6 linked regions of the Xenopus tropicalis genome follow. The protein of the gene in region 6 purifies or fractionates together with the protein of the main gene of each other region. This does not show direct contact. Links are inferred from orthologs where the notes say so. Each region holds a gene or a part of one and is shown on either strand. Other genes may lie near its edges. The genes, in order: baz1b, dnmt1, hipk2, cbx5, adnp and daxx.

Evidence for each region.
Region 1: the proteins of daxx (region 6) and baz1b purify together in Homo sapiens (co-immunoprecipitation; 3 studies listed by BioGRID and IntAct, with this or other methods). This does not show direct contact. The link is inferred for Xenopus tropicalis from reciprocal best matches to the Homo sapiens genes DAXX and BAZ1B.
Region 2: the proteins of daxx (region 6) and dnmt1 purify together in Homo sapiens (affinity purification with western blotting; 4 studies listed by BioGRID, with this or other methods). This does not show direct contact. The link is inferred for Xenopus tropicalis from reciprocal best matches to the Homo sapiens genes DAXX and DNMT1.
Region 3: the proteins of daxx (region 6) and hipk2 purify together in Homo sapiens (affinity purification with western blotting; 3 studies listed by BioGRID). This does not show direct contact. The link is inferred for Xenopus tropicalis from reciprocal best matches to the Homo sapiens genes DAXX and HIPK2.
Region 4: the proteins of daxx (region 6) and cbx5 purify together in Homo sapiens (affinity purification with mass spectrometry; 3 studies listed by BioGRID and IntAct, with this or other methods). This does not show direct contact. The link is inferred for Xenopus tropicalis from reciprocal best matches to the Homo sapiens genes DAXX and CBX5.
Region 5: the proteins of daxx (region 6) and adnp purify together in Homo sapiens (affinity purification with mass spectrometry; 4 studies listed by BioGRID and IntAct, with this or other methods). This does not show direct contact. The link is inferred for Xenopus tropicalis from reciprocal best matches to the Homo sapiens genes DAXX and ADNP.

Annotation. Positions count from the first base shown.
Region 1 is NC_030678.2:41,885,033-41,888,754, forward strand, and holds part of baz1b (tyrosine-protein kinase BAZ1B), read right to left. Parts: intron 833-3,722; coding exon 1-832. UniProt on the Homo sapiens protein: Atypical tyrosine-protein kinase that plays a central role in chromatin remodeling and acts as a transcription regulator. Involved in DNA damage response by phosphorylating 'Tyr-142' of histone H2AX (H2AXY142ph).
Region 2 is NC_030679.2:137,119,401-137,123,717, forward strand, and holds the start of dnmt1 (DNA (cytosine-5)-methyltransferase 1), read right to left. Parts: upstream 2,883-4,317; 5' UTR 2,619-2,882; coding exon 2,569-2,618; intron 717-2,568; coding exon 674-716; intron 463-673; coding exon 355-462; intron 1-354. UniProt on the Homo sapiens protein: Methylates CpG residues. Preferentially methylates hemimethylated DNA. Associates with DNA replication sites in S phase maintaining the methylation pattern in the newly synthesized strand, that is essential for epigenetic inheritance.
Region 3 is NC_030679.2:7,953,400-7,957,121, reverse strand, and holds part of hipk2 (homeodomain-interacting protein kinase 2), read left to right. Parts: intron 1-1,323; 5' UTR 1,324-1,325; coding exon 1,326-2,392; intron 2,393-3,722.
Region 4 is NC_030678.2:145,616,126-145,620,629, reverse strand, and holds the start of cbx5 (chromobox protein homolog 5), read right to left. Parts: upstream 2,848-4,504; 5' UTR 2,702-2,847; intron 1-2,701. Other genes in the region: hnrnpa1 (heterogeneous nuclear ribonucleoprotein A1), read left to right, coding at 3,357-3,371. UniProt on the Homo sapiens protein: Component of heterochromatin that recognizes and binds histone H3 tails methylated at 'Lys-9' (H3K9me), leading to epigenetic repression. In contrast, it is excluded from chromatin when 'Tyr-41' of histone H3 is phosphorylated (H3Y41ph).
Region 5 is NC_030686.2:35,649,580-35,653,832, reverse strand, and holds the start of adnp (activity-dependent neuroprotector homeobox protein), read right to left. Parts: upstream 2,848-4,253; 5' UTR 2,519-2,847; intron 1,722-2,518; exon of another isoform or gene 1,624-1,721; intron 510-1,623; 5' UTR 373-509; intron 1-372.
Region 6 is NC_030684.2:72,192,413-72,195,313, forward strand, and holds part of daxx (death domain-associated protein 6), read right to left. Parts: intron 889-2,901; coding exon 741-888; intron 621-740; coding exon 1-620. UniProt on the Homo sapiens protein: Transcription corepressor known to repress transcriptional potential of several sumoylated transcription factors. Down-regulates basal and activated transcription.

The sequences.
Region 1 (3,722 bases), on a different chromosome or scaffold from region 6:
CCCCAAACAAAGCATTTGGTAGTCCCTCTGGGGTGTCTACAAGTTTGAAAGTTGGTAAGCTTTTACCAGTGAGCTCCTGATCTTCATATCGCTTTTGTTTTTCCAGACGTTCCTCTCTCTCCTTCTGTTTCCGTTCCCGAGCCTTCTCCTTAATACGGGCTTTTAACGCCTCACGCTTTTTGCTCATGTATTCTTGACGCTGCTCCTCTGTCATCACTGCCCACTGCTTGCGATGTTCAAGCAGTTCATAGCGTTTCTGAACTAGTTCTTGAAGCTCATCAGGCAGCCTTTTGCGGTCTTCAGCAGACAGCATTCGAGCCACCTTAGAAATCAGTGCAGACAGAGCGCTTTTACGGTCTTCACGGTTCTTGTTGTCACGGTAGTAAGAGATTAAGTGGAGAGCAGCAGGGGGTAGGTATTTGTGGGGTTTGCTGCTTGACCTAGGTGTGCTTGCACCCCCTTTTTGGGCCCGGGACACTTTTGGAGTTGTTTTTGCCATGTCCAATAAGGTCATTTGCTTTAACTTTGGGCTCTTTAACCCTTTTTTAGGAGAGCGAGCCTTGCCAGAAACTTTTTGGCCATTCAGTAGCTGTGACTTGCCACTTTTAGGTTTCTTCTTGTCCGATTTCTTGCCTTTTTTGTTTAAGTTTGCACCATTCATTAACTGCATTTCTTCTTCTGAAGAGGAACTGGTAATCCCCGTTTTCTTAAGGTTCACCTGACACCACGATGATGGGCTAAGTGGTGATTTTTTACTTTTCTTAGCTGGTTTATGGTCAGGGGATCCCAGACTCTTCCTTTTTGTTGCTGATGATGGATTTAGAGTCATATACTGCAAAAATAAAAACACAGCAGAAGTAAATAGTTAAATCGAAGCGAAGCTGCCATAAATATTGGGTTACGTGGCACAAGTTTACTGTATTATGCCTTTTGGCTGCCAAATGCAGTCTTAATATCGACCAACATGTCTGAAGTGTACTACACTGACCTGCATGGGGCACAGGCATCAGTGCACCCACTAATGATAAGCCATCCTACCTTGTTCAGTTTTGGATCATTGAACACAGAGAAGCAGCAGGATCAGACTTTTGTAGTCCAAGTATTTGCACAATGTTGAATTGGATAATATAAAATAAATATAAGCCTTTTTTCGTATAACTATGCTACTTTATTATGGGTCTGCAACTTATCAGAACTTACTAGGGGGAATGCAAGGATTAAAGGTACAATATAAGTACAAACTCTTCATATTAGGAAATGGGAAGTTATTCCCCATATTTTCTGGGCATATTAGCGTCCAAAGCTCCAAGGGGAATTGCACAACACACTATACACGAATACTGAACCTTTTAAATACAGAAAGGAGTGTTGAAAATATAGGACTTAAAAATCCAGTTTGTGGTGTGGATGTGGTAGAGAAGAGAATGGTAACATCATGTCATAGTAAGGGACAAGAGTTGCTTTTTATTGCTGCAACACTTGAAGCCCACAAGGACTGTATGCAGAAATAAACTTTTGTAAGATTTTATACTATGGACTCACCATCCCCAAACAAGCAATTTCAACATCCCAAGAATACGGGACATGAGTTCAAAAGTTCTTAAATACTTAGAGCATGTATTTCTGGAAACTACATTAGCAGTTAGTTCAATTACATGCATATTTCTAAACACACCAGTAAGTGCATTATTGGCTTTACCTTGTAGAACTGGTCACTTACTGGTAACAGTGATTACTGTTTGTGCACTGTGTAAATCTATTGATAGGCCAACGGAACAGACCTATATATACATGGGCTCCATTTTACGGTCTGCCCACTCTTACTACATTGAGCACTCATTGTGCCCGTTGTCTTGCAGTTTTAAGATGCACTGTTAATCCTCTTTTAAATGTTAAATCATGTGAATTTTTTCCTTAAGATGAGAATGCAGCACACTCGAATAGTGTGGAACTCTTAGGACATCAAAAAAATGTATCTGTTTTCCACCAACACCACATTTTTCCTTAAAGGTATACTGTCATGATTTTTATGGTATACTTTTTATTCCTTAATTACACTGATTACATAGCAAATAATTCACTCTACCATTTAAAATCTTATTCTTGAACCAAAAATTTTTTTTTTTTAGTCGTAATATTGGTGTGTAGGCAGCCATCTCAGTGCATTTTACCAGAGTCTGAGCTTTCAGAAAGAGCCAGCGCTTACACATTAGGAACTGCTTTCAGGTAACCTATGGTTTCTCCTACTCCCTTGTAGGTGGAGGAGTCCCAAGCCAGACTTGGATTTCTTACTACTGAGTGCTATTCTCATATCTACTGGGAGCTGCTATCTTGCCCCCCCTAAGTGTCCCTTAAGGGCAAAGACAGATGGGGTAATTAGTTGAAGCGACTTTTTAAAACACCAGTCATGGTGACAGAAAACACAGTTGCAGAGACTAATCTTTGTCGAAGAATCTCCCTTGTTGCGAGCGACTAATCTCCCCGAGATGCCATCCCACCGACATAAGCGGCGTGGCGATTTGCCGAACTCACCGAAGTTGCCTTTAGAGGAAACTTCAGTGATTTTGTCGCTGCGTATGCCATCACACCTGCGATTTACAACCTTGCCGGTGGGATGGCATTTCGGGGAGATTAATCTCCCCGTTTTCCACGGCCCTAACTTCCTGAGAAATGTACCGTATGGAACTAAGCACATGAATTTTGCATAATGCAATTAGTCGCTGCAGCTAGATTCTAAATATCACAGCGACTAATTGCCTCATCTGTCGTCACCATATTGCCCCTCCCTGTGCAAATAAGCAAACAAACCAGTCAGTCCTGAACAGTCAGTGGTTACAACGACACACATATATACAAACATATATCATAGATTAGCACGATAAGCAAGATCTGTTCACCGAGTTGCTGAACATGTGGCATAATCCATATTGGTTGTAAAACAATCCTAGTGGGTTTTTAAATTGGAAGATCATCTTAAGAGTGACCATGACATTACTAAGCACCGTTACAGCTTCATAATTTGTTCCAAAAATATCAAACTAGTATAATTTTGGGACTGAAAACAATATTTTATGTTCCCTTTATATTGTACACAATGTTCCAGTATCATCAAGGGCAAGGAGTTTGTACATCCAGCCACAGGGAAGATGATACAATTACAGGACTACCATTCATATATCTCAAAATTTGTGACCTGAAATGCTGAAATATGTGCTGAAATGTCAGTGCGGTCTCATCTATATAGATGAGACCATGCAGACGGTCAAGCCATGTATATCACAACATAAACCTGCTATTAAATTGTGAATTATAAAACAACCAGCTTATAAACACTTTATAGAATAGCAACACAGAGCAGGTCAGCTGAGATTTATGGTTTTGGAAGCGACCTTCCTTTAAAATGTGGAGGAGACAGAATTATGACTGAAAAAAGTGAAGTGCGCTGGATACACAATTAAATTCTCTGCAGGATTAAATAAAGATTATGATGTTTACGATCTGTATTTATTCTTAAAATAAGAGTTCATGTTGCAATTACTTTAGAGTACTAAGTGCAATGTGAAATTTAAGATATAATGTATTCCAATAACATATATATAATATATGAGGATGGATGGTCATTTCCTATTAGATTTCTTTAAATGCTGTGCAAAGAGCTTGTAGTAAGATAACTTTTGGGCTTGAGAAAGGGAACTTTGAATACCCGAAACATTGCCAGATGC
Region 2 (4,317 bases), on a different chromosome or scaffold from region 6:
ATTTCTAACTTAAATATAGAAAAATGTTTTTGAAAACATTACAATGCAGGATTTTGCTGAAGAAGCTCTATTAACGTGTTTTCCGATGACAATATTCCTTTAAAATTAAAAAACCCTGCACCACTTGCTTTGTTGAATCTCTTTCCTCCCAGACTAAAGATGGTGAATTTTACTGTACTGCACATACACCCAACGTTACTTTACTGTGCACACCTGGGAACATAAATACCTTGCCCATGTAACGCTTCATAAAGCTCAGATAGTTATCTGACTTCAAACCTAACCCATACAGTAATTAATTTCAAAATGCAAACCAGAAGATGCATTCCTATCGTTACTAGTAATGAGACGTACCTCAGACAGTTCCTCGCTGCTCAGCTTGCTCTCCAGATCACTTAGTTTGTTTCTAGCATCTGCTTCAAGGAAGCCAAGCACCAAACTCAGTTTCTGTTGTACACATTCCTGAAAATATTGCATACAAAAGGGTTAAACATTAGTCAAATAGATCTTAATGTTAAAGTTTATTATCTCTACATAGCAATATTAACACCCCACCCCTGCAGCCAGTGAAAATACCAACTACAGGATAGCATAGGCGACCTAAAGTAAAATATCAACTTGTCTTTGCGATTCATATCTGTATATTTTTTTAAAGGGGAGATAGAAAGGTTACCTTTTCTGTCATTCCATCCTGATCCCTCTCCAAATCCTTTAGCCTAAAATACAAAAAATATTTGAGATTTTGCTTTAATATACACCACATATGGAATGTTATACCTCATAACTGGGAAACTACAGTTTCCCCAATAGGACCTGCACAGCCTGAATATCTCAAACACTGGTAAGAAATGGTGGTGCCACGGTACACATGAAAAAGTGGTACTGCAGCTAAATAGACGCTTCAGTAAAACAGGTAAGCTGATTCTCATGGTACCGACCATTCTTCTATATAACAAACATATTTAAATATGTTTGAACACATATTCTATCACCTAAACATAATGTTGCTTTTAAATTGTAACTGGAATGTAGATACTGTACAGATAAGGATACTGAAAGTACTTCTAGCCAGAAGCAAAGTCCATATGGGAACTTCACATTCATGTTAATGTCATAAGCAGGACTGCAAAAAAAAACAAACCAGTACACACTTTGGACATTTTGCAACCCACAGAGGTTTGCCTACAAAGCCTTGTTGCTTTCTGGTAGCAGTACTTCCTTCAAAATACTTTGAGTAAAATGCAAGTTCAATGAGTCCCCTGAGGGTACTTTAAGTGGTTTATCAAGTTTATAACAAATGTCCACCATTACCATGTCCAAAGGGTTGGATCAGCTGCCATTGATATTTAGTTCCTATACTTTTACACTGCTTGTCCCAGAATCAGAGTTGTGTTTACAAGTACACCAAGTCACATTCTCTGCTGAATACCCTATACTGGGGCTTAGTGGGCACAAAGTTAGCTCTCAGCAGTGCGCCTCTCTAAACATCAATGCTTGGTTATTTTCTAATAAGCTTCACCCTCTTTATCAGCCAAGATGCCACAAGTGGATTAATACTCCAAAACTGCCTGCCAAACTTGCAATTGCCCCCCCCATAGGTGCCATTGTTAGTATATCATTGGCATACAACACCTATGGTATTCTTTACAAGTGAAAATAGTGTTTCTTACAAAGATTACCAAGAGGGTCAACGTGTCTTCATAGAACTCCCAGCACAACTTTCAGCTGTTCATGGGATATGGAAAGTTGCAATATATATATATATATATGCACCCAAGGGCCTATGGCTATGGTGGCAGCTTTTGAGAGGCAGCCCTGTTGCCAATATAGGATAGTTTAAAAAAAAATTAAAAAAACAGTTAAGTCAAAAGGTGAATAATCCCACTGTACCAGTTACCAGACCATGTACCTGAACCTCATACCAGGTTCTTAGCGATTAGCCCCAACTGTAGGGGGCCCAGGAGCCCCAGCCCCAACTGTAGGGGGCCCAGGAGCCCCAGCCCCAACTGTAGGGGGCCCAGGAGCCCCAGCCCCAACTGTAGGGGGCCCAGGAGCCCCAGCCCCAACTGTAGGGGGCCCAGGTGCCCCAGCTCTGACCCAGCCCCAACTGTAGGGGCCCAGGAGTCCCAGCTCTGACCCAGCCCCAACTGTAGGGGCCCAGGAGTCCCAGCTCTGACCCAGCCCCAACTGTAGGGGCCCAGGAGTCCCAGCTCTGACCCAGCCCCAACTGTAGGGGCCCAGGAGTCCCAGCTCTGACCCAGCCCTCTTCCATACGCTTTCAGGAAGCCTGAGAATATATCAGTGATTTATGTCCATGTACCCATATCTGGACCTGACAGGTAATAAACATGTGACCTGAGAGGGTACCAACACGTACCCCATATTGCAGAGCTCTGAATGGAGGAGACATGTCGCTCCCCAACACCTACAAGGAAATAATAATCTCATATCTGCGGAGCCCAAACAGTGGGAGCTTCAACGTGGGCATGGCATGCCGGGAATGTCTCCGTTACCAGGTGGGGAGCGGGGGGGGGGTACAACACCAGTGACACGGGCTATTCCCCTTACCGTTTCCTGACATCGGCAGGCAGAGCCAGGGAAGCGGACTGGGCCGGCATGGCGGTATATAACAGCGGTGAGACAGACTCGGTCAGAGGCAGCGGTCCGTTCCCGTAAGGGCAGGTCTCAGTTCCTCACAACGCGGGAAGCTCGGGATTTTCCCGCCACCTCAAGGTGAGTTATACCAACAGAGAGAGCAAGCAGCGGCGTGATAAGTGCGGAGCGACAGAGCCAGACACAGTGACCCACCGCACGGAACCGCCTCTCCTTTTCAAATGGCAAAAGAACCGGGCGCCGTCACGTAACCCCGCCCCCTCCGCGCTCTCCCGCGCTTTGCTTTTACCCGCGAAACAAAAACGAGGGAAGCGCTGATTGGTGCGTATAGACAGCGTAGGGCGTTTGTATTCACATTATGGAGGGGAGGGCTATGGCAGATCATTCATTCTGCTTTACTTCAACTCCGCCCCCCCAGCGTGGAATTATCGGGCTGCCCCAGCGCGCCGTGTTGTGTGACGCAGCGACAGGTTCAAAGGGGGAAGAGGGCGGGGCGCCGTAATGACGCAATGACGCACAGCAGCTGGGGCCGCGCTGACAGAGTGCGCTCTGCTTCCTTGACAACTGCTGGCGCCAAAATGTGTGTGTGGTAAAACAAAGCCAGTAGCAAGGCTGTGAGGGTAGTTGGGCCCTCTCTGGTGTCAGGGCCGGGGTACAATAACAATGGCAATAATAACAACAATAATAATAATAACAATGTGACAATAACAATGGCAGTATTAATATATTAAGTGAACCTGGAACTTCAGTAGTTATATATATAAGCAATAACTTCTCGACAGCCCTGCACCCATTCAGTCTGACCCTGCTAAAACCCTTCCAAAATTACCTCAGAGGAGCTAAAATGAATGATTCCAAACGTTGCTTTTTGTGTAAATTAATGGAATTTGTCATCAGTAAAAACTAATTTAGGTTTCAGGACAAATACCATTCCAAACTGCAAGCTACGAGCATGGGAAGTAATGTGGCCCTGAGCCATAACTGTCGCATTTTTACAAAATGATAGGTTTTCCAAAAATATCTTTCACTACTAGAGATATGTTGATAATATTTTATTTATTTTGAAACAGAGGCAACGGCAGTTTGCTGAATATATGAACAAGGTACAGAGGGCTATGAAGTTCACACTGGTATATCATGATACGCTGATAATTTGGATGTACAGGTAATCACATACAGACTGATATATATCTAGAAAACCCACAGACAGGACCAACATGTTGCTATACAATAGCTTTCATCCAACAGGTACACATACAGGCAAGATGCATGGAGACAATCCGAGATTATTACTTAAGGGTTGAAAGAAAGAGGTATTTATTAGAGAAAAAAAAGGCAAATGGCACTCAGGGCTGCAAGCAAGGGAACAAAGCCTTTACATTTTTATTGCGGAGGTGCAACTTTTCGGGGCAAGATATCAAGCATGCTTGATAAAGGGGTAATCTTGCCCCGAAATGTTGCACCTCCGCAATAAAAATTTAAAGGGTTTGTTCCCTTGCTTGCAGTCCTGAGTGCCATTTGCCTTTTTTTGCTACATTGGATTTGGGAGGGTGCCGATCCCTCCAGCAGTGTGCACCGGCTATTTTGGAGAGCTAGGGTGTGCGGAAAGGTCTCTGTTGTGCGTATTTATTAGAGAAGACACAGAAGGAGGTGGCAGGGATAGACAGAGGTGTTTTACTGAAAAGAACACAAATAACTGAAAAA
Region 3 (3,722 bases), on a different chromosome or scaffold from region 6:
GCTGGGCGGTATGACCAAAAATTTATATCACGGTATTTTTCAAAATTATATCGGTATCACGGTATTTGACGGTATATAAATAAAAAATAAATAATAAATATTGGTGGCCCCAAAAAAACCATATCGTTTTTTTTTTTAAAAAACCGGTATACCGGTTAAACCGGTATACCGCCCAGCACTAGCCTCTGCTAAAACCCATCAGTAAATGATCAACATTGTCTGTTTTAGTAGCTGCTACTGGTAGCTCTCTGTGTCTTCACCCTTAGGGTGAAGACACACAAGGCTACTAGTAGCAGCTACTTTTTTGCAGCTACTAAACTTCAGAAAATACCTTTCCATACTGAGAATTGCCTCTCCTAAAACACACGTAGAAACAGTTATCAGTAAATGATCAGCATTGTCATTGTCAGTAAATGATCAGCATTTTAATAGCCGCAACAAGTAGCTGCTACTAGTAGCTCCGTGTGTCTTCACCCTTAAGGTGAAGACACACTGGGCTACTAGTTGCAGCTACTTTTTTGCAACCAGGAACCACATTAATGGATCTAACCAGGAACCACATAGGAGCCATGTAAGTTCTTCTATGTAAGGATCTAGTTGGGCTTATGGATGGGTCTAACCAGGATCCACATAGGAGCCATGTAGGTGCTTCTATGTAAGGATCTAGTTGGTATTATGGATGGGTCTAACCAGGAACCACATAGGAGCCATGTAGGTGCTTCTATGAAAGGATCTAGTTGGGCTTATGGATGGGTCTAACCAGGAACCACATAGGAGCCATGTAGGTGCTTATATGTAAGGATCTAGTTGGGCTTATGGATGGGTCTAACCAGGAACCACATAGGAGCCATGTAGGTGCTTCTATGTAAGGATCTAGTTGGTATTATGGATGGGTCTAACCAGGAACCACATAGAAGCCATGTAGGTGCTTATATGTAAGGATCTAGTTGGGCTTATGGATGGGTCTAACCAGGAACCACATAGGAGCCATGTAGGTGCTTCTATGTAAGGATCTAGTTGGGCTTATGGATGGGTCTAACCAGGAACCACATAGGAGCCATGTAGGTGCTTCTATGTAAGGATCTAGTTGGGCTTATGGATGGGTCTAACCAGGAACCACATAGGATCCATGTAGGTGCTTCTATGTAAGGATCTAGTAGGGTTTATGGATGGGTCTAAACACAGAATTGTGACTTTATAAGAAGATAAAAACATAGATTTGGTTATTAAGTATTTACCCCCAGTTGTAATATTTATCCTTCCGTGTAAGTGCCTTTTGCCCCCAGTGTACGTCTAATTGTGGGTCTCTCTCTCTCTCTGCAGGTATGGCCTCTCATTTGCAGATATTTTCCTCTCACGGCCTCCCATTGAGGACCTTTTGTAAGGTGAAGAAGCCGAAGCTTGAACTGAGCCCGGGCTGGGATATGACTGGTTACGGTTGCCACAGCAAGGTCTATAACTCGGGCAAGAACAGCTCCACGTCTGGCCAGCCGGTGCTCAGCCACGCCTCCCTCCTCCAATCCTACGAGCAGACGGTCATCTTTCCCACCAGCGCGGGCCACATTGTGGTAACCTCGTCCAGTAACGGTTCCTCAGCGGCGACGGGGCAAGCACTAGGCGGCCCTCAAACTAACCTGATGCGGCGCAGCACGGTCAGCCTTCTGGATACCTACCAGAAGTGCGGGTTGAAGAGGAAGTGTGAAGAGCTGGAAAATAACAGCAGTGTACAGATCGTGGACGAGCATCCCCCCGTCACCCAGAACAATGCTAGCGGGGCCACTGCGGCTACCACCTCCACCGCCACCTCCAAGAATAGTGGCTCCAACAGCGAAGGGGATTACCAGCTGGTGCAACACGAAGTCCTCTGCTCTATGACTAACACATATGAGGTGCTGGAGTTCCTGGGCAGAGGAACCTTTGGTCAAGTGGTGAAATGCTGGAAGAGGGGAACCAACGAGATTGTGGCCATCAAGATCCTGAAGAACCACCCGTCCTACGCCAGGCAAGGCCAGATCGAAGTGAGCATCTTAGCCAGGCTCAGCACGGAAAGCGCCGACGACTACAACTTTGTGAGAGCCTACGAGTGTTTCCAGCACAAGAACCACACCTGCCTGGTCTTTGAGATGCTGGAGCAGAACCTCTATGACTTCCTGAAGCAGAACAAATTCAGCCCGTTGCCCCTCAAGTATATCCGGCCGGTGCTGCAGCAGGTGGGAACTGCTCTGATGAAACTGAAAAGTCTGGGGCTTATTCACGCCGACTTGAAGCCGGAGAACATCATGCTGGTGGATCCTTCCCGGCAGCCATACAGGGTCAAGGTTATAGATTTTGGTTCTGCGAGCCATGTGTCAAAAGCGGTCTGCTCCACCTACCTACAGTCCAGATATTATAGGTAAGTTGCCTAAAGAGATACCTGGTCTTAAGGTATAGTTTATCATGTACCATATATACTCGAGTATAAGCCGATCCGAGTATAAGCCGAGGTACCTAATTTTACCAAAGAAAACTGGAAAAACATATTGACTCGAGTATAAGCCTAGGGTGGGACATGCAGCCGCTACTGCTAAGTTTTAATAATCAAAATAAATACCAATAAAATGACATTAATTGAGGCATCAGTGGGGTATATGTTTTTCAATATTTATTTCAAAGAAAAACAGTAAACTAGCTCTGTAAGTGGAGAAGAGGGTCAACAAAAACAATATGGTATCAACAATGATAACTTAAGAGTACTACCCCCTTAGCTCAATCAGCAACCAAGCTAAAACACAAAGAGTTAAAATCCTTCAAAACTATATATAGTTTATATAGAATATAAAGTGCAAAATGGGAAAGGTGAGGATGGTAGATGAAGATGAATTTTCATCTGGAGGGACCCACGGCACCCGACTCGAGTATAAACCGAGGGTGACTTTTTTTCAGCACATTTTGGGTGCTGAAAAACTAGGCTTATACTCGAGTATATATTGAATTTTTACCCATAAAGCCATATATTGTGGACTCTGTAGGGTCAGGAAGTCTTTAACTCACGCAGAGGGTGGGAATGGAACACTTTGATGGGATGGGGGGGGGGGGCAATGATTTATGTAGGTGGATCAGGTGAGGAATGGGTGAATAAAGGCCAAGTGTAGGGCATTGTGGGTTGGCTGAGGGAGGGGGTAGGTACAGAAATGGCCTGGCCAGTGGGGAACAGTTAAACTATATGTCCAAAATGGACACCAGGCCTAGAACCCACTGTGATATTTCCCGGTATCAGAGTGGGCCAGTGAGACCCTTCTTCCACCCACTGCAAGTTGTAGAGTTGCCTTATACAAATTAAGCATTGTTTCACCTCTGGCCAGGCCATTTCTGTACCTACCCCCTCCCTCAGCCAACCCACAATGCCCTACACTTGGCCTTTATTTACCCATTCCTCACCTGATCCACCTACATAAATTATTGCCCCCCCCCGGGTTCCCGGATACCTTTCCATTGGCGCAGGAAGGCCCCGGCCACTCCCAATACCTGTTGTGCTTTGGGCAGGGGAGCCCTTGAAATCGGGTAATTTGATGGGCCCCAGGTGCCCTAGTCTGATACTGGGTCAAACTAAAACAGTTAACAGAGGGGGGGGGCAGGAAGTCTGGAACTTGTGGGTAGGATCAAAACACTCTGATGGCATCTTATAGGGCAGTGCTGTCCAACTGGTGGCCCCCTCTGTGTGGCCCCCCACCTGTCTGGCTGCT
Region 4 (4,504 bases), on a different chromosome or scaffold from region 6:
AAATTTGTTAAAGAGCCCCAAACATCACAGAAACCCCTAATACACCTATCACTGTAATCTGTTCCTTCAAAAAGTATAAACAAATACCATTTTTATATGCTGAAATCCAGCTTCAAAACAGTTACCTTTCTGCATCATTTGAAATCCTGGTGGGAGAGGAGGGACTAAAACATTGATGTTACAAATAGTAACAAGTTCTCAACAGCTTACAGACAGCATGCAAGAACTACATAACCCACAATGCACTGCACTATGATGTACCATTGCTTACTGACATCACGTCGGCAGGGGATTGTGGGATTTGGAGGTTGCAGGTTAAGAACAGTCGACTACTTTAACAGCCCAATAGGCTTGTTTTGCCTCCAGTAAGGATTAAATTATATCTTAATTGGGATCAAGTACAAGGTACTGATTTATAATTACAGAGAAAAGAATTACAAATTAGAATTATTTGCATATAATGGAGTCTATGGGAGTTGGCCTTTCCGTAATCCGGAACTTTCTGGATAATGGGTTTCCAGGTAAGGGATCCCATACCTGTATATTAAAAATCATGAAATTGCTGCATATTTTTTAATTGATGTATATTACAAAGTTACTCTTTAAAACGCTTAAGTTGTGTTTGGGTGGAGTTCCACCTTAAGTTGCAAAAGCAACCTGAAATAATAAAGTCATCAAACAGTACATAAGAGTGAAAGTTAAGAGCAATTTCACTCAGTTATCTTAACCCCTTTGTGGTCAAGTGGTAAACAGAGATGTCACCTGCCCTTCCAAAGTAGACTGTGTACAGGGGCTTTTTTATGAACACTGGCCAGTAACCTATGGCAACCACATTTTTGCTTTTCATTGTTCAATCTGCAGTCATGGATTGGTTGCTATGGGTTACTGCCCATGTGGAAATCTGCCCACTGTTTATACATGTTTACTGTTTATATACATAAGATGTCTACAGTCTAAGAATAAAGTATACAAAGGCACATTTAAGCCCACATGTCCAGCCTGTGAACCTCCTGCTGTTCAACTACTACTCCCTATACTCCAGCAGACTTTATCTGGGAGTCTGGACTAAAGGTGGCCATACACCGTAAGATCCGATATTCTCTCGATAGGCCCCCTACGAGTGGGTGATATTGGGCTAATTCAACTTAGGGCCAAACAATTGAATTAGAATGGTGGGCATAGGCACCATCAGTTCAGAGACTGCATAAACGAGCCGACACGGTCCCCAATTCAATGTAAATATCAAACCTGCCCGATTTCAAGTCAGATGTCAGTTGGGGCCTGTTGTTGGTGCCCATGCATGGGCAGATAAGCTGCCAAATCAGTCTAAAGGACCAATATTGGCAGCTAAAATTGCCCAGTGCATGGACACCTTAAGATTCATAATAGGCCCTGGTATTTGACATACACGGAGGCCCAATCCCCTCCACTGGCCCAATAAATAGTGACTGTCTACCACACCTTACTGCAGCCCCTCTGGCATTTGCCAGAATCTACAGAATTGCCAGATGGTATGGTTATAGGTTAGCATTAGTGATTACACCTAGTAAGCTTGCTGTGTTGGCATGCAGGTGTGAAGGTTATTTAAAGGAATGCCGTTGCTTAAAGTGTATTGTCATATTATAAATACACGTTCCCTTTCATTTCCCTAGGGACATTTTTCATTTTCCCTAGGTAGCAGCCTAGCTGGTTGTAAGCATAGTAGTTTTTAAGCTCCTGCCATAGACCCCCTTCAAGCCTCATGTAAGCAAGGTATTTACTTTATTTACAGGAGGTGAGATTGATAGAAATGCCTAGAGCTGGTCTGAGTGATGTCTGAAGCCATTTTGCAACGCTCTTATTTGCGTTGCATGCGCCCCCCTCCAAGGGCAGAATTTCTGAATATAGGCACTCTTCATTTAACAGAAAAGTGTGGAATTGCTGCAAATAGCCTTAACCTATGGAGACAACTGCATAGAAACTGCTTTTCTGCTTCAAGTGATACCAGTAAGTTATGTGCCTGGTGTAAAGCTGCTGTACTGCGTGTTGCATGTATTACCATTTCCATAGCCACAGGCCATGGTTTTACTTGGGTTAGGGATGCCCAACCCCTGGCAGACTGTTCCTGCTGAACTACACCATTCTGACCTGCTGGCTGATATGTGCAGACATAGCTCACAGCAGCTGGAGGGGTGCAGAAGAGCAGACGTTCCATATGTGATTGCTGACACACAATGATGATGGAATGAATGGAGGACTCACATCAACATCCAGCTGTTGTACTACACCTCCCCCAACTGAACAGCTGGATGTTGGCCATGCCCGATATCTGTATACAGAGAATATACAACAGAATCATGCCATACAGGTTTTTATTGTATAATAGTCCAATAGGACCAGCCCAGGATACAATACCAGGGGGAGAGAGCAATGGGTATTGCCCAGCGCTGTCTGTAAGCCCCAGGTAAGTACCTAAGTTAAGCCTCGCACTGTCGCTGCCCGGCTACACGGCTGAACGGTACAACACGTTCCTCCCAAAGTTTGCGAATGACCCCCAAGCTTCCGCCAATCAGCAGCGCCCCTTGTCTCCCACATCACTGTCCCTGTCTCCCACAATGAAGCCGGGGCACCCCATTATTCGCACAGTGCCAGCAGCAGCACCTCACACAGCCAATGAATGGGAAGGGCCGAGGAGGGGTGGGAGGCAGCGAGTTGTACTCACCTTCCTGCGCGAAATACACCGTGCGCCCACCGAAAGCTGCTCGCTAGCAGGAATTGAGTGAAGGCTCTTACCGAGCGGTACTGTGCGCAGCCAGCGACCAAACCCCGCCAAAAACAACCCACTAGACGCATGCGCAACACCGCCCTCCAGCCTAAAGGAATGCCCCTCCTCGGGTACACACTATGCCCAGTCCGTGCCATACTGCAGCCTAACCATTCACCAGAATTCATAACCAAAGGTTGAGGCCCTATAAAATGTAATTTCAATGGCTAGAACCAAATCTGCCCGAACTTCTATAAAACGAGCACCGGGCCAGTACGGAAATCTCTGTATAAAATATGCACACCGATAATCACTCGCCCAATGAGAAAACGGGGCGTACCAGCACCTCACTTAGGCCGGACAAAAGGACTGACTAAACGTACCCGATTTCTTTTCCCCTCCTCCTCAACGTCTTAACCAATCGCTGAAGTTAAACGTCACGCTAGTTGCCCAATCGACGATGCCTACGCAGACAGCGACCAATTAGGAGGCAAGTGGGCGTATTCTGGCGCACTAAATATACATTGCCATTGCGCTATAATCCCCCACTCTTCCTTCCTGTCGCTTCTCTTTTGTTTCTGCTGTTGTTGAGTTAACATCGGGGAGAGTCACCATGCACAAGTCCGAGGTAAGGCCTAGCGCCAGTGCATAATGCATTCGGTTCTTTTTATCATAGTCGTTTAGTTTTACGCCTTCTAGTTATGGGCATAAGTATCAGTAGGAGTGTTGGCGCCTTTTTGGGCCAGGTTTTTTTTTGTATGCTGTATATATGAGAGTGCTACGGTAGGTCAGGCTATATTAGATAACGACTAAATTATGTGAATAACATGTAGGCCCTGGCTGGGGATTTTCTTTAGACGCCGAGCTGGAAGCTTTGCGTAGAGTTCCTTTGTCTGACTCCATTTTGTGCGCTCCACCCTGCGAGGCGCTATGGTACCGCCTATTTTCTACTCGCTTAATGGCGGCGCTGTGGCCCGTAGCTGGAAGGCGCCTTTTCTCTAACGCCACACATGATTAGGCCTCTCCTTAATACATATTAGATATTCTCTAGCAATAAATAAAAGAATACCTCTCTCTCGGATACCGTACAAATTGGTAACAGAAAGGCAAACTTATTCCCGGATTTGTAAAAACGCGTGTTTTCAGCTTCGATGTTCAGGCTAACAATATACTTATTATTCTCGCTATTTATGGCTTCTACACATTCAACTTAAATGAAACCTGTTCCTATAGAAAAAAATGACCCTTATGGTATCGCGGTGGGGGAGGGGAAACTGGTGATTCACCATTTTGGTGAATGGGTTGGTTAGGCCTAACCAGTGCACTTCCCCCACCTAGAGGCTTGGGTTGGTTAGGCCTAACCAGTGCACTTCCCCCACCTAGAGGCTTGGCTGCTAACTTTGCCCAATTAGCGAGTCTCCTTTTTAATCACTGGGCAAGTTTGCACCTAGGCAGTAACCCATAGCAACACATCAGTGGTAGTTTCACCATTCCTGCTGCTGGCTGAACAAAGGCCAAACATCTCGTTGGTTGCTATAGATTATTGCTTAAGTGCAAGATAGGCTTTATTTTAAATTTTTTTTATTTTTTTTGTGGTTTGGGTAGAGGGTGAAATTAATAGGAAAGGGTCTTATAGTAGATGAAGAAAAATAATCCTTTGTGCCTGTCCCTTTGCTTTTGGCATCCAGCCAACATAGTTAAACCCAGTACATGCTAGTAAACCTCGTGTCTGTCTACATTGTACAAAACTGACACCTGTTT
Region 5 (4,253 bases), on a different chromosome or scaffold from region 6:
TCATATGTAAAAACGTGGCAGAAACTAGCTGGTAACAGACCTGCAGGATGGCTGACGCAGAACAAAAATGGATCAACACATACAGCTTTCAACATTAATAACATTTACACATAACTTTTAAAACTAATGAAATCAGGAATGCATGTATTTTGAAAAGTTAAGTTATATTTTCTTTTATTAGTCAAAAGAACTGTTTTTCAGTAGTAATTAACTTTAAAGCATGGTTACACAGTTGATAAATAATGATGGTTACTAAAGACACTTCACTCCATGGGTTCCAGGGTCCTCTAACATGCCATGCAAAAACACAGTCCTTACTACCATCCTTCTTTTCTAAAAGCTTAGAGGTAGAAAGGAGAAATGAAAACAAACCTTTTATGTCAAAATAAAGTTAAGGAAGATTGAAATGATGATCCGAGCGCCAGTTTGTTGCTGTATGTCCCACACAGTGCAAGGTGCTGCAGATAGGAATCCAAGGAAAAAGTGTAAGTGCCAATGAATTTATCCACCTGTAGAGAGAAAATGATTGAATTTTAAGCACATGGTATTTTCTTAAAAACTACAGTACCCTCTGATTCTACTCTTCCCCTCTATAGTGCCACTTACTGGGTTAGTGCTTTGATACATTAGTCTATCAGTTCAGTTATGTTTCACCCCCTTCCCAGGGCCACCCTCTTTATAATTTGGGAGTTCTGTTTCTGCACAAGTTGCACAAAACGTTGAACCCGAAAAATGCTAAAAGTAAGGTAAGGTGTTGTTATTGAATACACTATACCATGCTCTACACTAGTGATGGGCAAAACCTGAACAAACAAGGGATAAGTTAGTGGTAAATAACTAGCTGGCATAATCTGATGTGAGGTGCATAGCCCTAATGGACACAAGGAGTAAAGTAAATTGCCATGAGTAAGAAAAGGCACCAATTTGACAAGTCAGTTTTGTGACAGGGGGGCTATACCCAGGTATCCAAAGTATAGTTTTTAAGGTGTTGCTGAACCATCACTAGCAGCCTTTAGCAGAGATGCTGGGAACTGTAGCACTCAGAAGGTCCCAAGCAGTGCATCCATGCTCTACACTAGTGATGGGCAAAACCTGAACAAACAAGGGATAAGTTAGAGCCTGCACCTAGAAGCACCAGAGGGGCCTAGGGAATGTGGGAGTGAATCACTGGCTCTCTGCACAAGCAGTGCATAATGCTGCTGTCATGGGCCCTGCCGCATTCCACTCCCAAACCTATAGGAGGCGCTGTGCAGCAGCTTCCAGTTTTGCTTCAGTCTACCCATCCCCCCACCCCAGCGCCTTACCCGGCGCACAGCAAGCGCCCCCTACTGGAATGTGAGGCGCCATTTTCTAGCTGCAGTGCATCTTGGGTGGAGGCTGCCTGTTATTTTTTTTATTCCCCTTTTTCCCCCCTGCCACAGCTCGCAGCCGTGCAAATAGAGAAAACAAACAGCGCTAAAGTGCATGACTAATGCGAAGCCATCACTGTGACAGCAGGCCATGTGCAGCGCAGGAAAACACCGGCAGCAGTTCGGATCGAGCGCCTTTGTGATGGACCCCCACTACGGGGAGTGGTGCAGCCCACCTGCCGCTAAACCCTAGCGCCGGCCAGCCCATGTGTACCTGGGGAGAGGGGAGCATGCTGGTTTAAAGGTTCCTCCTACAGGATCGCGCCTTTTTGCAGCAGAAGCAGCCAGACAAGGGAGGGTGGGGGCAGCCCCTATCCCCACCCCCTCCCATATATTAACCCTTTGCCTTCATGCCACTGGGATGCCCGAGGTACGGCCCTCCGGCTTCATAACTGCACGCAATACGAAGTTCTATTTATGTAGCATGGCAGCGCCAACCCCATGCCCCCCGCTGCACCCACAGCCGGATCCTGTGCCCCTCCATGCCCGGCACCCCTCTAGCCGAGCTCCCACCGGCACTGCATGTCAGGCTGGAACTCCCCAGCAGCAGGGTGCCCACCCACACATCCCATTGGGGCACCCCAGCTAGTGGCAATGGGGGCAACAGGACTCATACTGGCACCTCCCCCATCCCTACACCCAAAGTAACAAGTCTGTCCCCACAACCATCATTATCCGCATCCAATCAGAGCTGCCCGGCACAGATGTGAGTGCTCAGTACAATAGCCAGGTATGCCCCCTGCCCACTGGGCCCATCAGCCTGCCTATCTGTCCCCACACTATCTCCATCCCCTATTTGTGTCCCTCACACTCTCTGCACTTCCACCAACTCCATTGTGCCCCGCACTTCCTGCAGCCCTCAGTGTCTCCCCAATCCTTAATAACTTCCATCTGTTCCTCACACCACCAGTAACTTTATTATCCGTAACTAGCTCTGCTCTACCCCCTGTCACCCCCCCCAATTCCTGAACTATAAATCCCATCATCCTCTATAGGGGGGATCTGGGAGTTCTAGTTCTACCTCACGTTAGGCACTCCGACTTCATGAGAAGATGCACCCCAACATACCCACCCTGTAACCATTACGCCGCTCACGGCCCCAGACATACCTGAGCCGGGGGGTTGCTTGTCAGCCCGAGGCGGTGGGCAGCCTATGGCCCCTTGGGATATGGGGGTGCCAGGCAATGCGCCTGAGCATGAGCCCCGTGTTTGTGTGTGGGAAGGGGGTGGAGTCAGTTCCCGGTGCCGGTGGCTGCAGCTGTGACTCCGCCGGGTGCACTTCCTCCTCCTGCAGACAATACAGCACGGCGGCGGCAGCGGCTCCGATCCTGCCCTGGCCAAAATGGCGGCCGCGAAGGAGCGGAAGTGACGTCAGCGCTCATTAGCATGAAGGAGGGGTGGGGGGACTCATTGTCCGGAGCTGGCGGGAGCCCGGGAAAAAACAAATACTCCACTGCAGCCGCGCACCTGGGGACCGGGGAGATGGGCATGCACAAAGGGGATCTTGTCCAGCAGGAATTTGGGGGTGAAAGAGAAAATCGGGTCACCAAGATAATCTCCCTCTCACCGCTAGGGGGCGCCTTTTGCGGACGGATACTTCAAAGACAGAAAAATTACAGTGGGAATGCGCGGTGTTCTTGGTATCCCTTCGCCACCGGCACTATTATGGGTTTGGTCACGTGGTGCTGGGTTCTCAGTGCTGCAGCCATGTGGTTTGGGTGGTGTGGAGGGAAGAGATTGGTAGGGCAGCTCCCTGACTGGGTGCCAATTTCATTGCTACTGGCACTATATCAGGAGCAAGAAGTAAGCATCCCATGAGTTACACTTCTGTGGAAAGAGGCTCATTGGGAAACTAAGTTGGCCACAGTAATGGCTGCCAAGGACTGCCAATTTACAATGGTCTCTTTGGAGGGAGGTGACATCTTCCAGCCAGTGGTCACTGTAGTTCTTGAGGATCTAACAAATGACAAGTAAAATCCCTTAGCTAGGTATTATGGTGCCAATATAGTAGGTACCACAGCATCCCTCTGGCAGTTGCAAAGCATCAGCACCTTTAGCAGAACTGATTGCTAGTTAGTAACCCATTGTGCATATAGGTGCCCTCAAAGCCAATTAGCTGCTTTCTATGGTCAACAGCCAAGCATTAAAGTCATTCTCTGATACAATCAGGACCCTATTTCATGGTATGTTTGGGGACCTGGAATATTTTCTTTCAACTAAAGTAGTTTTGGTTTGCCATTGCCCTTCTATTCTTGGGGCTTCTGATTTTCTAGACTAAAGGTAACAATACACATGCCTATTTAAGTTGCCAATTTCAGACCAATTTAGCAGCGCATCTGTATGGGCACTACCAACAGGCCTATTTATTATAAAAAAAAATAGGCAAATGTATTTAAGCATTTGATTGAATTGATTGAAAAATTAATTGAAATTATTGAAAAATGAAGACAACTTAATTCAAAGGACCAATAACCCTAAACATGATTAATCTGACTTCAAGCCTTTTATTTAATTCCAGTGTTTGCCGTCAGCTCCACTGTGTTGCAGTCTTTTATGTGTTGTCTAAACAATGCCCCACCCAGCCTATAATGTTCAGTGGATCTTTACGTGATACATATTCATAAACTGACTTAAATATAATAAAGTACAGTTCAAGTATATATTTAATGCAATAAACCAACAGTTACCATCACCAACCAGTATATTAAAAAAACAAAAAAATAAAATTATATATTACTTAAAATTGTACTCACAATTAAAGAAGATTATACAAAATTTAATAAAATCATGAATGTCCCAATCAACAGCTTAACACATACAAGCAATTGATAAAGTTCATCAGTG
Region 6 (2,901 bases):
ATCCTGCATATTCCCAGTTAAGTTAGACAAGTCTGACTGCAAAGGACAGTCCATAGGTGACCTATTTGTAGACATGTCAGTCTTTTTACCCACAACTACTGCATTTTCAAACTCAACATTGCTTGCAGCATGTGGCAGTCCCTCATTTTCCACTAAGTTCTCATTTTCTGGCAATTCAAGGCAGTCTTTTGTGTTTTCTGAGATACTCTTCTGTTGAATACCACACTCCACTAATTCATTTTGCAGTTCTATAGTACTCAATATTAAATTACTCTGGCTTTGGTTTGGAAGACAGGAAGAGGTATGAGGTGTAAGCAACTCCTGCTGTATCTCTAGTATTTCTGAAATTTTCCCATGAGATGATAAAAGAGAAGGCTGTGCAGAAGTCTGTATTAACAACTCTTTATTTTCTCCATCTTTTTTTACCATGGTTTTATCAACCTCATCTTTTGGCCTGCTTTCCTCTTTCGTATATCCCTCCTTCTCTTTATCTTCTCCATGTTGGATTTGGTCTTCATCCTCCTTTTCATCTTCTTTCTCCTCCTCAGCTGAAGAGAATGACTCAATTTCTGTCTCCCTGTTTGGGTCTTCCTCATTGTCTTGGTCAACAGAAAGTTGTTCTAAGGAAAGAAATTGAAAGCAGGGAGGTTACTATGCATTTTGCCTCTTCTGGAACTGTTCTGTGCCATTGATTGCTTTTTGTGCAGTTTCCCTGATTTAACTTTCTTACCCCTTCTCACCTGCATCCATGTCATCTTCCTCTTCATCAGACAATGCCTCACATTGTTTCAGCTCATCTTCAATATCAGTTATGGAGTCATCCGACTCCTCTGCCTCTGATTCTTCTGAAGATGGCGAGGAAACCTTTCTTTTCCTTGGCGAAGACATCTACAATGCAAAAAGAGACACTAGTTAAAGTAGGGGTTCCTATACTTTATGGATGAGAGATCTACTTTTTTTTTCTTTATTTATAACAGTAAAATGAAATTACTACATGTAATAAAAACAGGTTACATGAGTAAAGATGGGTGTTTAGTAAAATTTTTTGTTTAGTAAATGTTTTTGTTTCACAATTTCAGGTTAGTTGCGCGGTACTACGGTGCTAGGTGTAGCCCTAATGCGTAGTGTTAAGTTGGACATGGCCCCCTTCTAGATAGTTAAAGACCGGCTTGACTCGCACCACATACCCCAAATTTTTTCAAATTTCCTTTGTGCCCCTCTGGTCTGGTAAGTGTGTTTTATGAGGGGTAGGGCAGCATTTATAAGCTGTTGCCAGAATTCGAGTGTGGGAACACTATTGCCCATCCACCTCATTATGACTGCTTTCTTTGCGTAAAATCTGAATCTTGCCCTGGCTGCGTTGGTGGGGAGTATGTCCTCCACCGTGCCTAGGAGACAGGTTGTTGGATTGATCACATTAGGTAGCGCTAGTTCTGTTGATATGGTATCCATCACTGCAGACTATCACTGCGCAATGGGGGGGACAGCTCCAGATTAGGTGGAGAAACTCCGTTTGGGAGGATTTGCACCTTGGACAACAAACGTTTTGTGCTTTGCCAAATTTGTAGAGTTTAGTGGGTGTAATATACAATTGGTGCAAGACCTTATACTGAATCAGCCTGTCCCGTAGGGAAATAAGAAACTCATAGAAGCTTTCTGTGGCTTCCTCCTACTGCTCTAGCGTTAAGCTAGGGTAGTGCTGGGCGGTATACCGCCATATACCGAATACCGTTTTTTTTTTTTTAAAAAAGCTGATATTAGTTTTTCAAATACCCCCATACCGGTGTAGATCGGGGTTGCGGTTGAGAAAGTTGCGGTCGAGAAAGTTGCACCCGTGCGTATTGACGTCACGTACGGCGCAACTTTTTAAAAGGGCCCGTCTCCGCCTGTCTTGGAGCAAAGGATATGGTGGGGAGGGGCTGTAGGTAGGTCCCAAGGCCCCCTTCCCCACACTACCTGTTCCCATGAAAAGCTGTGCAGCAGGTCTAACAGGCACCATCTCACACCACTTGTGCGACTGCTGACAGAGCATGCGCAGTTGAAACCAGGTCCAGGTAGGTGCCTGTTAACGCCACTCTGAATTTTGAAAGCAAATAAAAAGATAGTAACACTTGTCAGAGGAACGGGTGGTGCAGGGAAGGAGCAGGGCCGTTAAGGGCATGGGGTTGTAGAGGAGGTACATGTGGAATTTCATATTAGCCCTGCTACATTTCACCTGTGACCCTAGTTTTATGAGGGCAGTGCTCTTTTAGACAATTTTGTATCTTTAATAAAGGTCCACTTTAAAATTGCCTTAGAACATTAAAAAAACATAATCAGCAGCATAACCAAGCCCATTAATTCTTGATAATGCGTTGCAAAGCAGAATTCTTTGACGAAAGGTCTCATAAACCTGCATCTAAGTAAATGACCAGAAGGAAAGAATATTTCCCTTATTATGAATACCCAGTCAATGTTCCCGAAGGGATGGAGAACATCTCTTTGTGAACAGCTGCATACCTAAAAAAAAAAATACAGTCAAATACCGTGACACCGATATAATTTTGAAAAATACCGTGATATAAATTTTTGGTCATACCGCCCAGCTCTAAGCTAGGGATTGAGGTGGTCCACATGGCATTGGATTCCAGGAGGTGTGCATAGAAAGGAGCTTTTTTGATATGTGTTGGTTAAGTGCTGTTTCTAGGTCCAATGAGACCAGGTTTGGGGTGAGGGTTTGGAACTTGGCCAGAAAGGCGTGTCTTAGCTGTAGGTATCTGAATAGGTGCACTTGGGGTTCTTTTTCTCACAGCTCTTGGTGCGTAGGGAACTGTACACCTTGGGCTAGGTCTTCTAGTTTCTTGATCCCCAGTCTCGGACAGACTAAAAAGTCGGGTAGGTTCTTGAGGTGGGGGAGTAGAG